Linked DNA regions of Callithrix jacchus. The protein of the gene in region 1 purifies or fractionates together with the protein of each later gene. This does not show direct contact. Links are inferred from orthologs where the notes say so. Each region holds a gene or a part of one and is shown on either strand. Other genes may lie near its edges. The genes, in order: SNX9, DNM1, SYNJ1 and DNM3.

What was found.
Region 2: the proteins of SNX9 (region 1) and DNM1 purify together in Homo sapiens (co-immunoprecipitation; 6 studies listed by BioGRID and IntAct, counting the BioPlex papers as one, with this or other methods). This does not show direct contact. The link is inferred for Callithrix jacchus from reciprocal best matches to the Homo sapiens genes SNX9 and DNM1.
Region 3: the proteins of SNX9 (region 1) and SYNJ1 purify together in Homo sapiens (co-immunoprecipitation; 3 studies listed by BioGRID and IntAct, counting the BioPlex papers as one, with this or other methods). This does not show direct contact. The link is inferred for Callithrix jacchus from reciprocal best matches to the Homo sapiens genes SNX9 and SYNJ1.
Region 4: the proteins of SNX9 (region 1) and DNM3 purify together in Homo sapiens (co-immunoprecipitation; 3 studies listed by BioGRID and IntAct, counting the BioPlex papers as one, with this or other methods). This does not show direct contact. The link is inferred for Callithrix jacchus from reciprocal best matches to the Homo sapiens genes SNX9 and DNM3.

The regions. Positions count from the first base shown.
Region 1 is NC_133505.1:164,761,549-164,765,114, forward strand, and holds part of SNX9 (sorting nexin-9), read left to right. Parts: intron 1-1,197; coding exon 1,198-1,287; intron 1,288-2,380; coding exon 2,381-2,495; intron 2,496-3,566. UniProt on the Homo sapiens protein: Involved in endocytosis and intracellular vesicle trafficking, both during interphase and at the end of mitosis. Required for efficient progress through mitosis and cytokinesis. Required for normal formation of the cleavage furrow at the end of mitosis.
Region 2 is NC_133502.1:176,857,323-176,860,476, forward strand, and holds part of DNM1 (dynamin-1), read left to right. Parts: intron 1-682; coding exon 683-924; intron 925-1,289; coding exon 1,290-1,505; intron 1,506-3,154. UniProt on the Homo sapiens protein: Catalyzes the hydrolysis of GTP and utilizes this energy to mediate vesicle scission and participates in many forms of endocytosis, such as clathrin-mediated endocytosis or synaptic vesicle endocytosis as well as rapid endocytosis (RE).
Region 3 is NC_133522.1:38,737,766-38,741,331, forward strand, and holds part of SYNJ1 (synaptojanin-1), read right to left. Parts: intron 2,105-3,566; coding exon 1,964-2,104; intron 1,669-1,963; coding exon 1,476-1,668; intron 919-1,475; coding exon 760-918; intron 1-759. UniProt on the Homo sapiens protein: Phosphatase that acts on various phosphoinositides, including phosphatidylinositol 4-phosphate, phosphatidylinositol (4,5)-bisphosphate and phosphatidylinositol (3,4,5)-trisphosphate. Has a role in clathrin-mediated endocytosis.
Region 4 is NC_133519.1:30,875,986-30,880,117, reverse strand, and holds the start of DNM3 (dynamin-3), read left to right. Parts: upstream 1-1,318; 5' UTR 1,319-1,477; coding exon 1,478-1,638; intron 1,639-4,132. UniProt on the Homo sapiens protein: Microtubule-associated force-producing protein involved in producing microtubule bundles and able to bind and hydrolyze GTP. Most probably involved in vesicular trafficking processes, in particular endocytosis.

The DNA.
Region 1 (3,566 bases):
AATAGGCCAGGCACAGTGGCTCACACCTGTAATCTGGCAGTTTGGGAGGCCAAGGCAGGTGAATCACTTGAGTCCAGGAGTTTGAGACCAGCCTGGGCAGCACAGGGAACCCCTAAAAATTAGCCAGGTGTAGTGGTGTACACCTGTGATTCCAGCTACTCGGGAGGCTGAGGTAGGAAGATCACTTGGGCCCGGGAAGTCAAGGCTACAGTGAGCTGTGATCATACCACTGCACTCCAGCCTGGGTGACAGAGTGTGACTCTATCTCAAAAGAAAAAGAAATATAAATGAACGCAATCCAGTATTGATTCCTGCGATCCGTTCTTAGCCTTCAGTGGATTCTAATAAACAGGAAAGAACGCTGGCTCCGGTCTGTATGGACCGTTGCTTAGCCTCTCTGAGCCATGGTTTCCTCATCTGTTCATCTGCAGTGGTAGTGTCTACCCTGTATGGTTCTCAAAATTTAAGAGCTCATAAATAAAAAGCACTGGCTACAGTCCCCAGGACAGGGCAGGTCCTTATCCTAGCCACAAGCTTTTGTTGGAGTCTTTAGTAGCCCAATTTCAGGGTTTTGTTTTTGTTTTTAAATAACAGATAAGTTCCCTTAAGAAGAATCAAAGTTAATTTTCCAATCCCTTACTTAAAAAACGTTTTTTTCAGATGACTTAAAACTATGTTTGTGGATACACAGATGTGTACACCCACTAATGTGGTTATGGGCTACTTTCTGATACTTCTAAAAAAGCATTCATTGTAGAAATGTGAGTAACATAGCTACTAAAATCATAATTCAGAAAAAAATGGAAGAAGTTAAAATGATTACTAGGTGTTTTAATAATATTTTTATATTCTCTGCTCATATTTAGAAGTTCAACTTCAGCAGCTCATTTGCTTGTATATAAACATACAGTATTAGATGAATTTTTTTCCTTTGTGGTGGTATATTTTGGGCCATGTCAAAATACTTTTACAAACCAACTTAAAAATTATATGTTTTGTCGTTTTCTTTACAACATGTGATTCAAAGTATGGCAGTCTTTGGAGTTATTTCCTTTTAGAAAAAGTAACGTGAATGCTTCACACTCAGCAGTTTAGTGTAGCACATGCAGGATTTGTAGTCTTTGGATATAATAGTTACCTTTTCCTGGATTTTCTGAATTTCTCTGCCAGTAACAACCAGCTTGTATCTTGTTATAGCCAAAGAAAGATCTCCATTTCCTGATGGAATGTAATCACGAGTATAAAGGTTTTCTTGGCTGCTTCCCTGACATCATTGGCACTCACAAGGTAACCTGATCTAGACACTTAAAGAATACACCACCAGACGAAGCAGGCATGTGTGTGCAGTCGTCAGTATAGGTCTTATAGCTTTATTATTAAAAAGGAAACAATAGATAATTCAGGTTTTGTAACTGACTTTTAAAATTGGTTTGGAGTGTCTTCACTTATTAATTCTGGTTTTCTCTCCCTTTTTAAAAATCTGTACATCACCTCAGGCATGAGTTGTGAGTATTTTATGTCAACCATAGTAGTCTAGTATATTGCTGTGTACTTGGAGTTGTTAGGAATATCTCTGCCAAGGATTGGGCTGTGATCTTAACAGTCGTGGCGTGTGGCCATTTTAGCATTCTGTTTTATAACTGAAATAATCATGAAAGGGTTGCGTAGGTAAATTAGGTTTGTACAACTTCAGATAACTTAATATAAAACTCAGAACAGTGAGCTTGTTGTAGAAATGTATGCCAGCAGCATCAGAGTTGTAGGCCTGGAACCTAATGTATGCATGAGTATAGAGCTTTTCTTTCCAGACAGTCCTAAGTAACGAGCAGCATGATGATATTGGAGTGGGAAATGTTTGGCAGTGTTTCCCACCACTTCCATCTAAGTCTTCACATTGATGCAGTGCCTCTTACAAGAATCGAAGTAAAGCCCTGACTTACAATCAGCGCACTTAAGCACTAGCTCATAAAATATTCTGTTGGATAAAAGAAGAGATGGAGACTGCCTGCGTGCACACACTACTCTGTACCTAGCCAGATGACTTTCGAAACTTGCTAATGCCTGATTGCCATGATGTGCTACTCTTCAGATGGCACCGGCTTCTCAATATTACAGAGATGGTGTGCTGTTTGCTCTTCTCTTTTGTTGTAGCTTAAAACTTTTCATTTTAGCTTAGTTACATTTTTCAAGAATAGCAACCGTTTTGCTTCCAAGGGACTTGAAGGAAGTTAAATTCAGATGCTTTCCTTTCTTCTTATTTTGTGGAAATATTTCCTGTTCAGTAGTAAATCAGTTATAGACTATATTAGCATTGTTATATTTTAAACTAATGACTCATCATTTTAGCTTTATTAATACTGTTGCATTTTATATTTCTCAGGGAGCAATAGAAAAAGTGAAAGAAAGTGACAAACTAGTTGCAACAAGTAAAATCACCCCACAAGACAAACAGAACATGGTGAAGAGAGTCAGCACCATGTCCTACGCGCTGCAAGGTGAGATCAAAGGGTCCTTATGAGGTGCTGGTGGAGTTCATCTCCCCCAGCAAAGCTTCCCTTGCTAGAGAGAAATCCAAATGTGAGCAGTAGTTAAAGAAGCCCCTTGTTTGCAGGATCCCGGTGTTGATGAAAATCTGTGATATTTATTCAGATTTTCACCTGTCTACCTTATGTAGCTATGGATGACAGCTTGATTAAAACTGCACATTTTTTTATTTCTCAGACACATGGAAGATTCCTTTTGTAATCTGTGATGTCATCATGCTCTATTAAATGCCAGTGCTCAGCTTTTAGCAGTCTGTCACCTGCATGCCTTGGGATCGTGGAATGTGAAGGGGTTTGGATGTGTCATTTTAGGCAGGTTTTTTGTGTGTTTTTTTTTTTTTTTTTTAAAAAAGACATTAATGTGTATAGGTTTGAGTGTTTTTGAGCAGATGAGAGCAGCAAATAGATTTTTCCTGTTGGTGGACGGGTGGATGGCACTGACGTGGGCAGAGGAGAATGGAGAGGGTGTTCTGGTGGGAACAAAAGCCACAAAATTGTGGTGCTAGATTGTGTCATGGGTGTGAAAGAGTAAAACATACTTAGAGGTTATTGGGAATGAAATTTGGATTGTGAAAGAACTTGAAAGCTCTAGACTTGATGTGGGTGTTAAGAAGCCATTAAAAGGTTTTTAAGTGAGAGAAAAAAATCAATCCTCAAGGGAGAAGGATTTGATAGGTGTGGAGGGGGATTGGAGGTGCAGACACTGTCCCGGAGCCTGGCCAGAAGACCATCGCTAGTGTAGCCTGAGCTTTGAGGACCTACAGGTGTGGTCCTGGGGAGAAGAGAATGAAGCACATTCGCAGGCTCTTCAAGGAACAGCTTTCAAGACTGGGGCATTCATGGGAGAAAGAGAAGGACGAGGGAGTGTCCAGAGCCAAGGCCATGGCAGCAAAAACAAGGAAACCTGATTGAAGTTTTGGGTTTTGAAGGGTTTGAAATGGGGAATTTGGTTTTGAACTTGTGTTTGAGGTTATCGAATTGATAAATACGAAGCTTTGTACAACTTCAAATAACTGAATGTAA
Region 2 (3,154 bases), on another chromosome or scaffold:
TGGAAGTTGGAGTGAGCCGAGATCGCGCCACTGTATGCCAGCCTGGGTGACAGAGCAAGACTCCATCTCAAAAAAAAAAAAAAAGAAAGAAAGAAAGAAAAAGAAATGTAATGAAGTGCTGGGCATGGTGGCTCATGCCTGTAATCCCAGCACTTTGGGAGGCTGAGGCTGAAGGATCACTTGAGCCCAGGAGTTCAAGACTATTCTGGGCAACACAGTGAGACCTTGTCTCTACATAAACTTGGTAGTAGCACGTGCTTGTAGTCCTAGCTACTGGAGAGGCTGACATTGGAAGATCACTTTGAGCCCAGGAAGTTGAAGCTAGTAAGTGGTAATGTTGACACTGTACTCCAGCCTGGAGACAGAGGGAGACCCTATCTCAAAGGAAAAAACAAAACTGAGTAGACAAGTGTTCTGGTGGCATGATAGGTCCTAAGTCCCCTCCCAGATCTGTGACCTAGGTCAGATGACTTTTCCTCTGGACCTCAGTGTCCCCATCTCAATGAGAAAAGCGCAGTGGGAAGGCGGAACTTCCAGTCTAAGCAGTGTTGGAGCCGCGTCTGAAAAGCCATACTCTGGGCTTCAAGTCCAGCGCACAGTCCCAGCAGGGCCCGGTGAGGCGGCCAGGGCGGCACAAGGGATGGGGAGGTCCCACCTTCCTTCCCTCTTTGCCCACTCGCAGACCAAGGAGTTCATCTTCTCGGAGCTTCTGGCCAACCTGTACTCATGTGGGGACCAGAACACGCTGATGGAGGAGTCGGCGGAGCAGGCACAGAGGCGCGATGAGATGCTGCGCATGTACCACGCGCTGAAGGAGGCGCTCAGCATCATCGGCGACATCAATACGACCACCGTCAGCACGCCTATGCCCCCGCCCGTGGACGACTCCTGGCTGCAGGTGCAGAGCGTACCGGCCGGACGCAGGTACCAGGGCCGGCCCCCACGGCCCCAAAGCCCCCCAGCCCGGGGCCCGCGGGAGGAGTGCCGGGACCGGGCAGTGGCGCGCCCGCGTCACCGGGGTGGCTCCCACCTGGAGCGAGGGGCGGAGCTTAGAGAGGGCGGGGCTTGCTGCAGGGCGGGGCTTGCCGTGGAGCGCTGGCTGCGGGGCGGGGGGAGCTGGGACGTGGCGCCGCTGGGGGCGGGGCTTAAGCTCCGGCGACCGCCTCGGGGCGCGGCAGGGAGGGGCTTGCGTGCATGGGCGTGGCCTGCACTGGGCTGGGGCGGGGCCTCTGGGTGGGCGGAGCCGCTCATCTGGCCTCTCCTTGTTCCTTGCTCCCTGTCGCCCTCAGGTCGCCCACGTCCAGCCCCACGCCGCAGCGCCGAGCCCCCGCCGTGCCCCCAGCCCGGCCCGGGTCGCGGGGCCCTGCTCCTGGGCCTCCGCCTGCTGGGTCCGCCCTGGGGGGGGCGCCCCCCGTGCCCTCCAGGCCGGGGGCTTCCCCTGATCCCTTCGGCCCTCCCCCTCAGGTGCCCTCGCGCCCCAACCGCGCCCCGCCCGGGGTCCCCAGGTGAGTAGGGCCTGAATGCGGCGGCAGAGGCCGCGGACGGGCGTGACCGGGAGGGAAATGGGGCTGGATTCCAGAGCATCGGACCTGGCCGCCAGAACCGGCGTTTCCATCCCAGGCAATCAGACTCTGGGTGCCGGAGCCACGCCACGAGTGGCCGAGGGCTGGAGCCTGCCCCCGAGGGAGCGCTGAGTCCCGGAGGTGGTCGTTTCTGGGGACGGGCTGTGGGGCTCGTCCCACCTGCCCCCTTCTTTCTAGCACTTGCATGGCGCTTCCCTCTATTTTCACTCTTGGCGGCCGCCCACACGTTGCATTCCTCCTCCTTTCTTCTCGCTGTCCTCCATCCTCCATTCCGTCCAATTCCTCTCCCAACCCCTGGGGAGCCTACCTCAGGTCTGAGTCTAAACCCCGATCTGCTCTGGGTGTGTGGATTTCCTTCAGCTACCCTGATGTCCCCACTTCCCAGTCCTGACTCCTTTGAGCCATCCCAGGGGGTGTCCTGCCACTGGCCCACAGGAGCAGAGGCCAGGCTGTGACTGTGTGACTAGCAAGGTGTGTGATGTGTGTGTGGGCGTGCACACGAGTGTGAGAGTGTAAGAATGGCACCCAGGCCTGGGCTAGGACACGAGCAGGTGGGGAAGGAGCCTAGTGCCATGGGCAATCTGATGGCTCCCCCCCTCACCCCCCACAGCTTCTGACACTACCCAGTCTAAACCAATGTGCAGGGGTGGCAGCAGGGGCAGGGATGGGAGTGACTGAAGCCTGCTTCATTCCCAGAGATTTCTAGGGAAAAGCTTTCTACTACATCCTTTGGCTTGACCTTCTTGACCCATGACCCTCTTTTAGGGAAGTTCACTTGGATTCCCAGTCTGCTCTGTTTCCACTGGCCAGGTTCTCTAAGGAATAACACACCAGAACCATAGCATCTGTTTTTGTTTCCACATGGCTGGAGGGTAGGGCTGTGGGTCTAGCACCCATAAACGAAAATGAGGTAGGGATTGGGGCTTGCCCTATGATGCTCTGATGACCAAAGCAGATGGGTAGAGGCAAGCAGCATGATATTGGGTAAGAGCATTGGACTGGGAGTCCAGAGATGCTACTTCACCATGGGGCTTTAGGCAAGTCCCTTTCCCTCCCAGAGCCTCAGCATCCCTTCTATCAAAAGATGACCTTCTGCCTTTCTACCTGGGTGGTTGTGGGGATCAAGGGAGACAGTGGCTATAGGGATCCTGTGTTAACTGTAGATGCGACCGTAGGAGCACTTTGCTAACTGCCAACGTGAGTTCAGACTGTTCAGGGTATTTGGTACTCAGGTCTGTGGTGTGGTGTGCCATATGGGATGTAAGGTTTGATGCCTGCTCTGACTCCAGTCTTGCTAACACATGCAAAACATTTGGCAAATCATGGACCTGCCTTGGGGAAAAGAGTAGTCTGGGAGAGCTTCTTCAAGGCAACGTGACTTCAGTGCAGTCCAAGGCATGACTGAGATAGGCTTATGTGGCAAGGAATCAGGAGAGTATCTGGGTAAAGAGCTGCAGCGTGGGCAGATATGTAGTGTGGGCTGCATCGAGGATAGCCACTGGCCAAAGCAGAGAACAGAGACAGAATGAGGAAGAGCTCTGTGGGGATGGTGGGGCATAGGGTGGAGAACC
Region 3 (3,566 bases), on another chromosome or scaffold:
TCCCTCTCCCACAAAGGATGGAGCACAGTGGGCTGAGTGAGCAGAGTCCACCCCCACTAGCACCCACGTACACCTTCCCACCTGTGAAGCGGTCAAGACCACTTGTTTGACATTTGATTAAACTAACTACAAAAACATGAATAAGGGAATTCTGCCCAATCTTTGTGTTATAGGAGACATTTAGAACTGGAAATGGGATTTTGGAAACATCTAGCCTGATATCCTGTTCTCAAATAAGGAGCTGAGGCCTGAAAAGGTAACGTGGTGCCCAAAGTGTTAGAATTCAAGTCTGGTGGTCACCAGACACCATACTAGATGGCCACTGATCCTTTTACCTAAAAAAAAAAAAATTTAATGAATTCTTCCCAAATTTTGTGGTCGTAAGTTTTAAGAAGTGTTTCAAAAGTCAGATGACATAAGAAACAAAAGAAAAAAGAGTCAATGACTATAGGACTTAACCCAAAAAACAGCCCTAAAGACTAAGATTCTAAACTATTACCAAGGAAAAAAAAAGTTTATCCTTCTATTAGAAAATGAATCTTATAGATACATAATATATTTTTCTTTCTGGGAATTATTATGGGTTTTCTCTTTCCTATTTTTATTACTTTAAGGAAAGATAATTCTATTATCTATTTACCTGCAGATATATAAGTATAAAAAGACCCCAAGAAAATTTTAAAACATCTTGATTAAAAAAGTCATGTTTCATGACCCAAAATCTTCTTAATACAAGTATTTTCTCAAGTATGAATATACCTGTCCGGCATTTTTCTGATTGATAAGTTGATCTCCTGCTATAAGAGAATCCCAGTTTTGCTGTCTTATGAGCTCTTTAACTTCTTCGTTAGGCAGATCGATTCGATAGTTGAAATCACCACACCAAAATACATAGTCATGGGAAAACAGCATTCTTCCCTGAAAGCAATGAGACAGAATTTTAAATTCAAAACAATCAACGTTCAAAATGTTTTAGAACTATTTCTTTGCCTCAGATATGCCTGTTTCCTCCCATGTTCTGTTTCTTTAACCCAACAGTAATAATACACATGAAAGGAAAATAAACCTCAGGACCTCAAAATCACTAAGCCCAGAGAAAAATGAAGCTGGGAACTATGGCAGGCAAACCTGCCTCTCATTTTATTCACAGGTCCAAAGATAAGAAGCTACGTAATTCTGTCACAATTTGCCCAAAGAAATTCCCTGTGGACAAAGGATAGACAGAACTCAAAGACATCCCTCTCAGACTCACCTGAGACAAATGCACATCTGACTGCTTCCTCTAGCCTACTGTTTATGTAAAAACGCAGATTCACTGACCCAGACTAAATTGTGTATTCAGTGGAAGGCTGATCTAGGACTTCTAAATGTTTCTAGGAACTATCTTAAATTTTCAAAAACACTGATGTAGAATTTGGGGCAAATTAAAATACATTTCAAAGCTTTATCTTCAAGAACAAGCAGCAAAAGCTTACCATAGGAAAACTCAACTTTCGTGCTATTTCTACAAAATCTTCATTTCTTTCTTTGACTTGTGACTGCCCTGCAGCAAAGTGACTACAGACGAAGCAAAGGCTGGTTGTATGGAACAGCATTCGGATTGCAACTGCTCCCTTATTTCCAGTTGCACCTCCCATTCCAGTCTTCACAGTATCAACTGCAACATCCCTTTGAAATGAAGAATTCTAAATCACAGATTGAAATTTCAAGAATGCCACGTGCATAGGAAATCAGGAATATACATAATCATACAAGTAACACATAATATGCTACTGTGAGGGCAAGCCTATGAAAGAGTACAGTGAAGCTATTAGTGAGTCTTTAATCAAAACCCCCAAAACCATTTTAAAACAAGAACTATGGATAGTTTTTGTTTGAAGAACAGAAATAATAAATATTCTAGGCTTTTTTCTTGTTATTTAATGGTAGGAAGTAGCCTTAGGAGAGTGTTCTGTTTACTGACCTGATAAAAGGAGCATGCTGTGGTCTGATAAAAACAAACAAACAGACGCCCACCAACTGCTCAGAAGCCAGCAGCACATACTTGTTGTCTCTGGAGATTGTCTTCTGAAGTTCTACAGCCCAGAGCTTCTGATTTGTTGTGCTACAAGAAAATATTAAAAAGGGATTTTTAAAAAAGATAATGACAACAGCCTATTTTATGACAATTGTCAATCATACCTTTATCTACCCAAACTTCCTAAGACTCTGAAGGAAGCTTAGGCTGTTTTTGTTTCCTTTAAAAAAGAAAACTCACAATTTAGACAAAAGAAAACCACAATTCAAAATCTAATCTATTATTTCTTTATGAAGAAAATATAAAGACATTAAATGACTCCTCGCTGGGTGAGTAAACTCAAACTTATACATTTTACTTTTTCCTTAAGTATTCATTAAGATCACAGAGAAGTACAGTAGTATCTGTGGGGGGCTGGTTCCAGCTCCTGTGGATGCCAAAATCTAAGGATGCTCAAACCCCTTATATAAAATGGAGTAGTATTTGCAGATAATCCATGCACATCTCTCGTATATTTTAAATCATTTCTAGACTACCTGTAATACTTAATACAATGTAAATGCTAGGTAACTAGCTGTTATATTATATTGTTTAGGGATTAATGATACCAAAAAAAGGCTAAAAAAAAGACCAAAAAAAGCCTGCACATGTACAGACACAATTTTTAAACATATTTAATATTCTGATGAGTTGAACCCAAAGATGTGAAACCCATCGACATGGAGAGCCAACTATATGTGCTTCCAGATACATTTCCCTACTTTTATTTTTCTAAATTATAATGTCTTCTAAAAAAATTTTGCTATGGGAAATTAGAAAACATAATTATTAAATAAACCACCATATACCCATTTCAAAATTATCAATATTTTGCCAATCTATTTTCTTCCATCCCTCTTCACCTTTGTTTTTTTGGTAAACCTAGAATATTTTGGACCAAATCTAAGACTTATGCAATTTCACCTGCAAATACTTCTATATGTATCTCTAATGCAATGAGACATTTTTATTTTTACATATTCACAATACTATTATCACATTTAAACATTAATTCCTTAATATCATCTAGTAGTTTATAAGTAAAGTTCCCCATTTATCAAAAAAAATCTTCTAACGGTTGGTTTGTTTCTTTTAAAAGGGTCCAAACAAGGTCTACATATTGCATTTGCCTGTTATGTCTCCTAATCTCTTTTTTATTTTTTGAGATGGGATCTCACTCTGTCACCCAGGGCTGGAGTGCTGTGGCAGGATCTTGGTTCACTGCAACCTCTGCCTGGGTTCAAGCGATCCTCCCAACATCAGCCTCCCAAGTAGCTGAAATTCATTCCTTATCTTCTCAATGAACCTTATCCTGATTATTCATTTGAGACTGCCAACACTTCTCTGTGTCCCTAGAGTTGATCCTTTTCCTCTATTTTCCACTGCACTTTTCTAACCTGCTATATAGTTTACTTATTGTAGTTATCGTTCACTGTCTGTTTCTTCCCACTAGAATACGAAGTCCACGAAGATAGGGATTTTTGTCTGTTTTATTCATTGGAGGTACCTA
Region 4 (4,132 bases), on another chromosome or scaffold:
ACATACCTGAAATCAAACAATACGTGCTCTTTGGCCTTTTTCATTCTACATAATGTATCTGAGATTGAACCACGTTGTTGCTATATCAGAAGTCTACTCTATTTTGGTGTGGAGAATAGTTCACTGTATACACATACCACATTTGTTTATTCATTCACCTGTTGAGAGACATTTTGGTCGTTTTCAGGTTTTTTTGTTATTATGAACATTTTAATACAAGTCTTTTTAGAATTAGAAGGAACTGTACATTAAATGTTGAGATGACAAAAGATGACTTCAGTTTTGAATACATTCAGTCTGTGGTACTTGAAGGACACTCAGGTAGTGGTCTGGGTCCCTCTTGGAGTATAGTCTAAGTTGCAGAAGAGAGACAGGGTCTAGCAATGTAAATTTCTGTAGTCGCCAGCCTTTACGCAGAGTTAAAGCTGTGGGAAGTCCTCAGGCAAAGCATAAACATGAGACAAGAAAATGCCCAGATATTAAACCCTGAGAAGCACCAGTATTTGAGGAGCAGACTAAAACGGAACGCTCTGTGGAGGCTAAGAGAAGCATGGCCAGTGATCTTTGTGTCGCCATCATCAGGCACAGGACCTCACACACAGTCGCTTCTCAATATGCTAAATTTCATAGAATGCATCCAGAATATCTGGTTCTGGATAGACCCTGTAGAAGGAGATAGACCAGGAGGGCAAATGGCATGAAGAGTCTCACAGGCCAGAGTGACTGAAGGGGTGTCTGGGGCAGGTAGACCCTACAGACATTACCTGTGCTTATGTGGGGCTCGGGGGGACGAGTCATTACAGATGAAGAATTAGGTAAGGTCAGACCACTCAGGGTCTTAGATGTCAGATTGAAGAATTTAGACTCCAACAGGCCTGCTACCCTGGGAGGAGTCCTAGCGGGTTCTGGAGAAGGGCGTGACTGAGGAGATTTCCTTTTGGGAAGTGTACCCTGGCAGCGGTGCCCCGGTGGTTGTGGCGGCGGTGCTGCTCTTGCTGTGACCGTGTTGTGTTGTTAGCCGCGATAGTACTTTGACTTGGTAGCCGCTGGGCTTTGGCTTGGTAGCCGCTGAAAGAGAACAACGTTGCCGGCTGCTGCTGACTTCATGCCATTCCTTGACCCGGCGCTGTAACTTGGCCTCTGAGCCTTGGCCACAGAAGGCAGAGGCGGTGTCTTCTGGCGGCAGCTGGGAGGCCGTGCGCGCGGGGCGGGTGGTGGGCTGGGAAACCCGGGGCGGGGCAGCCACGGGGCGGGGCGTCGTGGAGCCAGGCCACGCCCCTGGACGCCCGCGCAGGCGCGCTGCGGGCCGTTAGCTGTCAGAGCCGAGCGGCGGGCTGGCGGCGGGCTCCGACGTCTGCGCCAGGACCCGGCGAGCTGAGCTCGGCGCACCAGCCGCAGTCAGGGCAGCGCGGCCCCGACTCCCGGCCAGGTCGTAGAGGCAAGCAGGGACCAGCTGGCCGCCGGCCGCTCGGGCAAGATGGGGAACCGGGAGATGGAGGAGCTGATCCCACTGGTGAACCGTCTGCAGGACGCCTTTTCGGCCCTGGGACAGAGCTGCCTGCTGGAGCTGCCGCAGATCGCTGTGGTGGGCGGTCAGAGCGCCGGCAAGAGCTCCGTGCTCGAGAACTTCGTGGGCAGGTGAGCGTGCAGGGCGCGGAATAGGGGTGCGGCGGGGGGCGACCCCGCTCCGGGCCGTTGGAAAGTGGACTGGAAGCGGGAGCCAGAGGGTGGACCAGGGGCTGCGGTGGAATGAGAGGCAGAGTGACGGTGTCCGTGGGGCGGGCGGGGTCCTCCAGCTCCGGGCATCCTCCTTCCCCTACCACCCCGCCCCCCTTCCCTCGGCTGGTGGCCCTCCTGCCTGCCTTTCATCCTGCTATACAAAGCCATTTCCTCCGGGTCCTCCAGTTTAGGAGTCGGGGGAGGGGTCCGCCCCGAGATGGACCCCCATCCCCTCGGTGCGCGCCAGCCCCGGGCAGCCTGCCTGCGTAGCGTGCCAACGCTTCCCAGTCCCCTCTCCTGTTTTCCCGGCTCAACACTCCCCTCCTTTCCCTGCCGCCCTCCGCGAGGCTTGCTGTGAGGCTGTGGGGCTTTATCCCCCGAGCCCCCTCCCCTAGGTGGAGATGCTTTCCTTCTCCCCTGGGCTCTTGTTCCTCTCAGCTGTCTACTGTTCTAGACGGTCTTCGCCTGCCCCTAGCTGGGGAGGCGGGGTGCGAGGAGAAAGACGTCGTTTGTTGTGGTGAAGCTTTTTCCACAGACGCTTCCCCACCATTCTCCTCCCCGAGAGTCGAAGAATAAAAGGTGGTGTTTTTGCGTGTGCACCTATTCACAGCTCCAGGCAACTGCGAGAGAGCCCGAGGCACAGACTTGGCAGGGGGTGGACGTGGACTTGTGTTGTCCAGGTGCCATGTCATTCCTGCATCATCTCGGAACTGACCAGCATCTTTCTCGCACTCTCTCCGCGCCCCCTCCCCCAGCATCATTTTCCGTTCTCTAAGCTCTTATTTGTCTTGCTAGCCTTCGAGATAATATTCTGAATCTAAATTGTAGCTGTGGTTTTCCTCATGACTTTTGATACAGAAACAGCGAAGGAATTAAATTTTGAATTGGGAATCAGCATTTCTTCCACTGAGCAATTCATGAGGGATTAAGTTACCTTAATGGCCTTGCCTGAAGAGTGCAGACATTTGCTCAGAAAAGCCCATTTGAAAGGGTTATGAAAGGTGAAATTTGTTTCCTGGTAGTAGAAAATCAGGTAGAAATGTACAGTAGCCAAGAAAAATTGCTGGCGAGATTGTACTTTATTCTTTTTATTTGGCTCATTTGTGACTTGGAATGCAGAAGGTTCCTGTTCCTGTTCCTTTTTTCTTTTTTTTGTTAGTGCTTGGTGATGTGTAAAATTTAGAGCTGGATATTCCCACATTTCCTTTGGAAATGTTAGTGTTCATAAAGTACATATTCTTTTCTCTCAAATGGTGTTCCATCTCTCAGGTGATACTATTTTTCCTGTATGAACTAGAAAGATAAGCAACCTAATAAAGTAAAATTACTGACAATTGGCTTGTATCCTTGAGTAATTCACTTAATCACTAAACCTCATTTTTATCATTTTTTTGATTAATGAGCAAAGTGAAGGTAAAGCATTTTGCCTATGTCATCTTAGACTTGTGGTGAAGTGATGGATAAATGTGTTATTTCAAACATAACAGTTACTTTCTTTGTTGCCAATGAAATTTACTAGATTTAAAGGGGCATCCAAAGAGTGAGTTTTGATAATATATTTTTGGTTTTCCAAATGCCAGGGCATTTTGTCATGACACTTTAAAAGTTATTGAATTTTTTGTTTTCTTAAACAAAATACTTAAAGATTAAAATTGTAGGTATTTCAAATGAAATTACCATATTTTTATACATCTTCCATATATTTACTTGGATGAGCCTATATTATATGTAAATGCATTGTTTGTGGTCAGAGCTTTTAATGCCAGTTGTATGCACATATCATAATTCTATTTTCTAGGTTTTGAAATTCTAACATTTTTCCTAATGTTATAATAAAATCGTACACATTTCCCCTTACTAGCTATGTTCTTTTGAAATGATAATTTGAAAACAGAAATATGGAAGAGTAGAATATTCAAGCTTGGATATTTTTCAAGATGGAATAACAAATAGGGACATTATAAGGATAAAAATCAGACACGAGAATACATTAGTAATTTGTTGTACATTAAAAAGTTGTACCACTAATTAACTGCTAGGATGTCAAATCAAAGGATGAACATAGAGGAAAAAGGTCATTTAAGCCATATGTAAAGTCTGTATTATATGTAGAGATGACACCTGCCTAGCAGAGCTTATATATTAAGGAGAAAATTTATTTAGAAAGGTCATTGAGTTTAATAAAATATTCGGTCATTGAATCATTAAGGAATCCAATTTCCAATTATAAACCAACCTTTAGGGAAAATGGAGTTTTCTATTTTGGTAAGATATTCGGCCAAACTGAAAAAATTGTATCCATTTTCCAATATAACATCTTAGTGTTTTCTTGTTCTTATCTAGGAATTTTGCAAAAAAGATAAGGTTCTTTCCTAAGGATGCACTTTCCTCTTTTACATGGAACTGTTTTCAT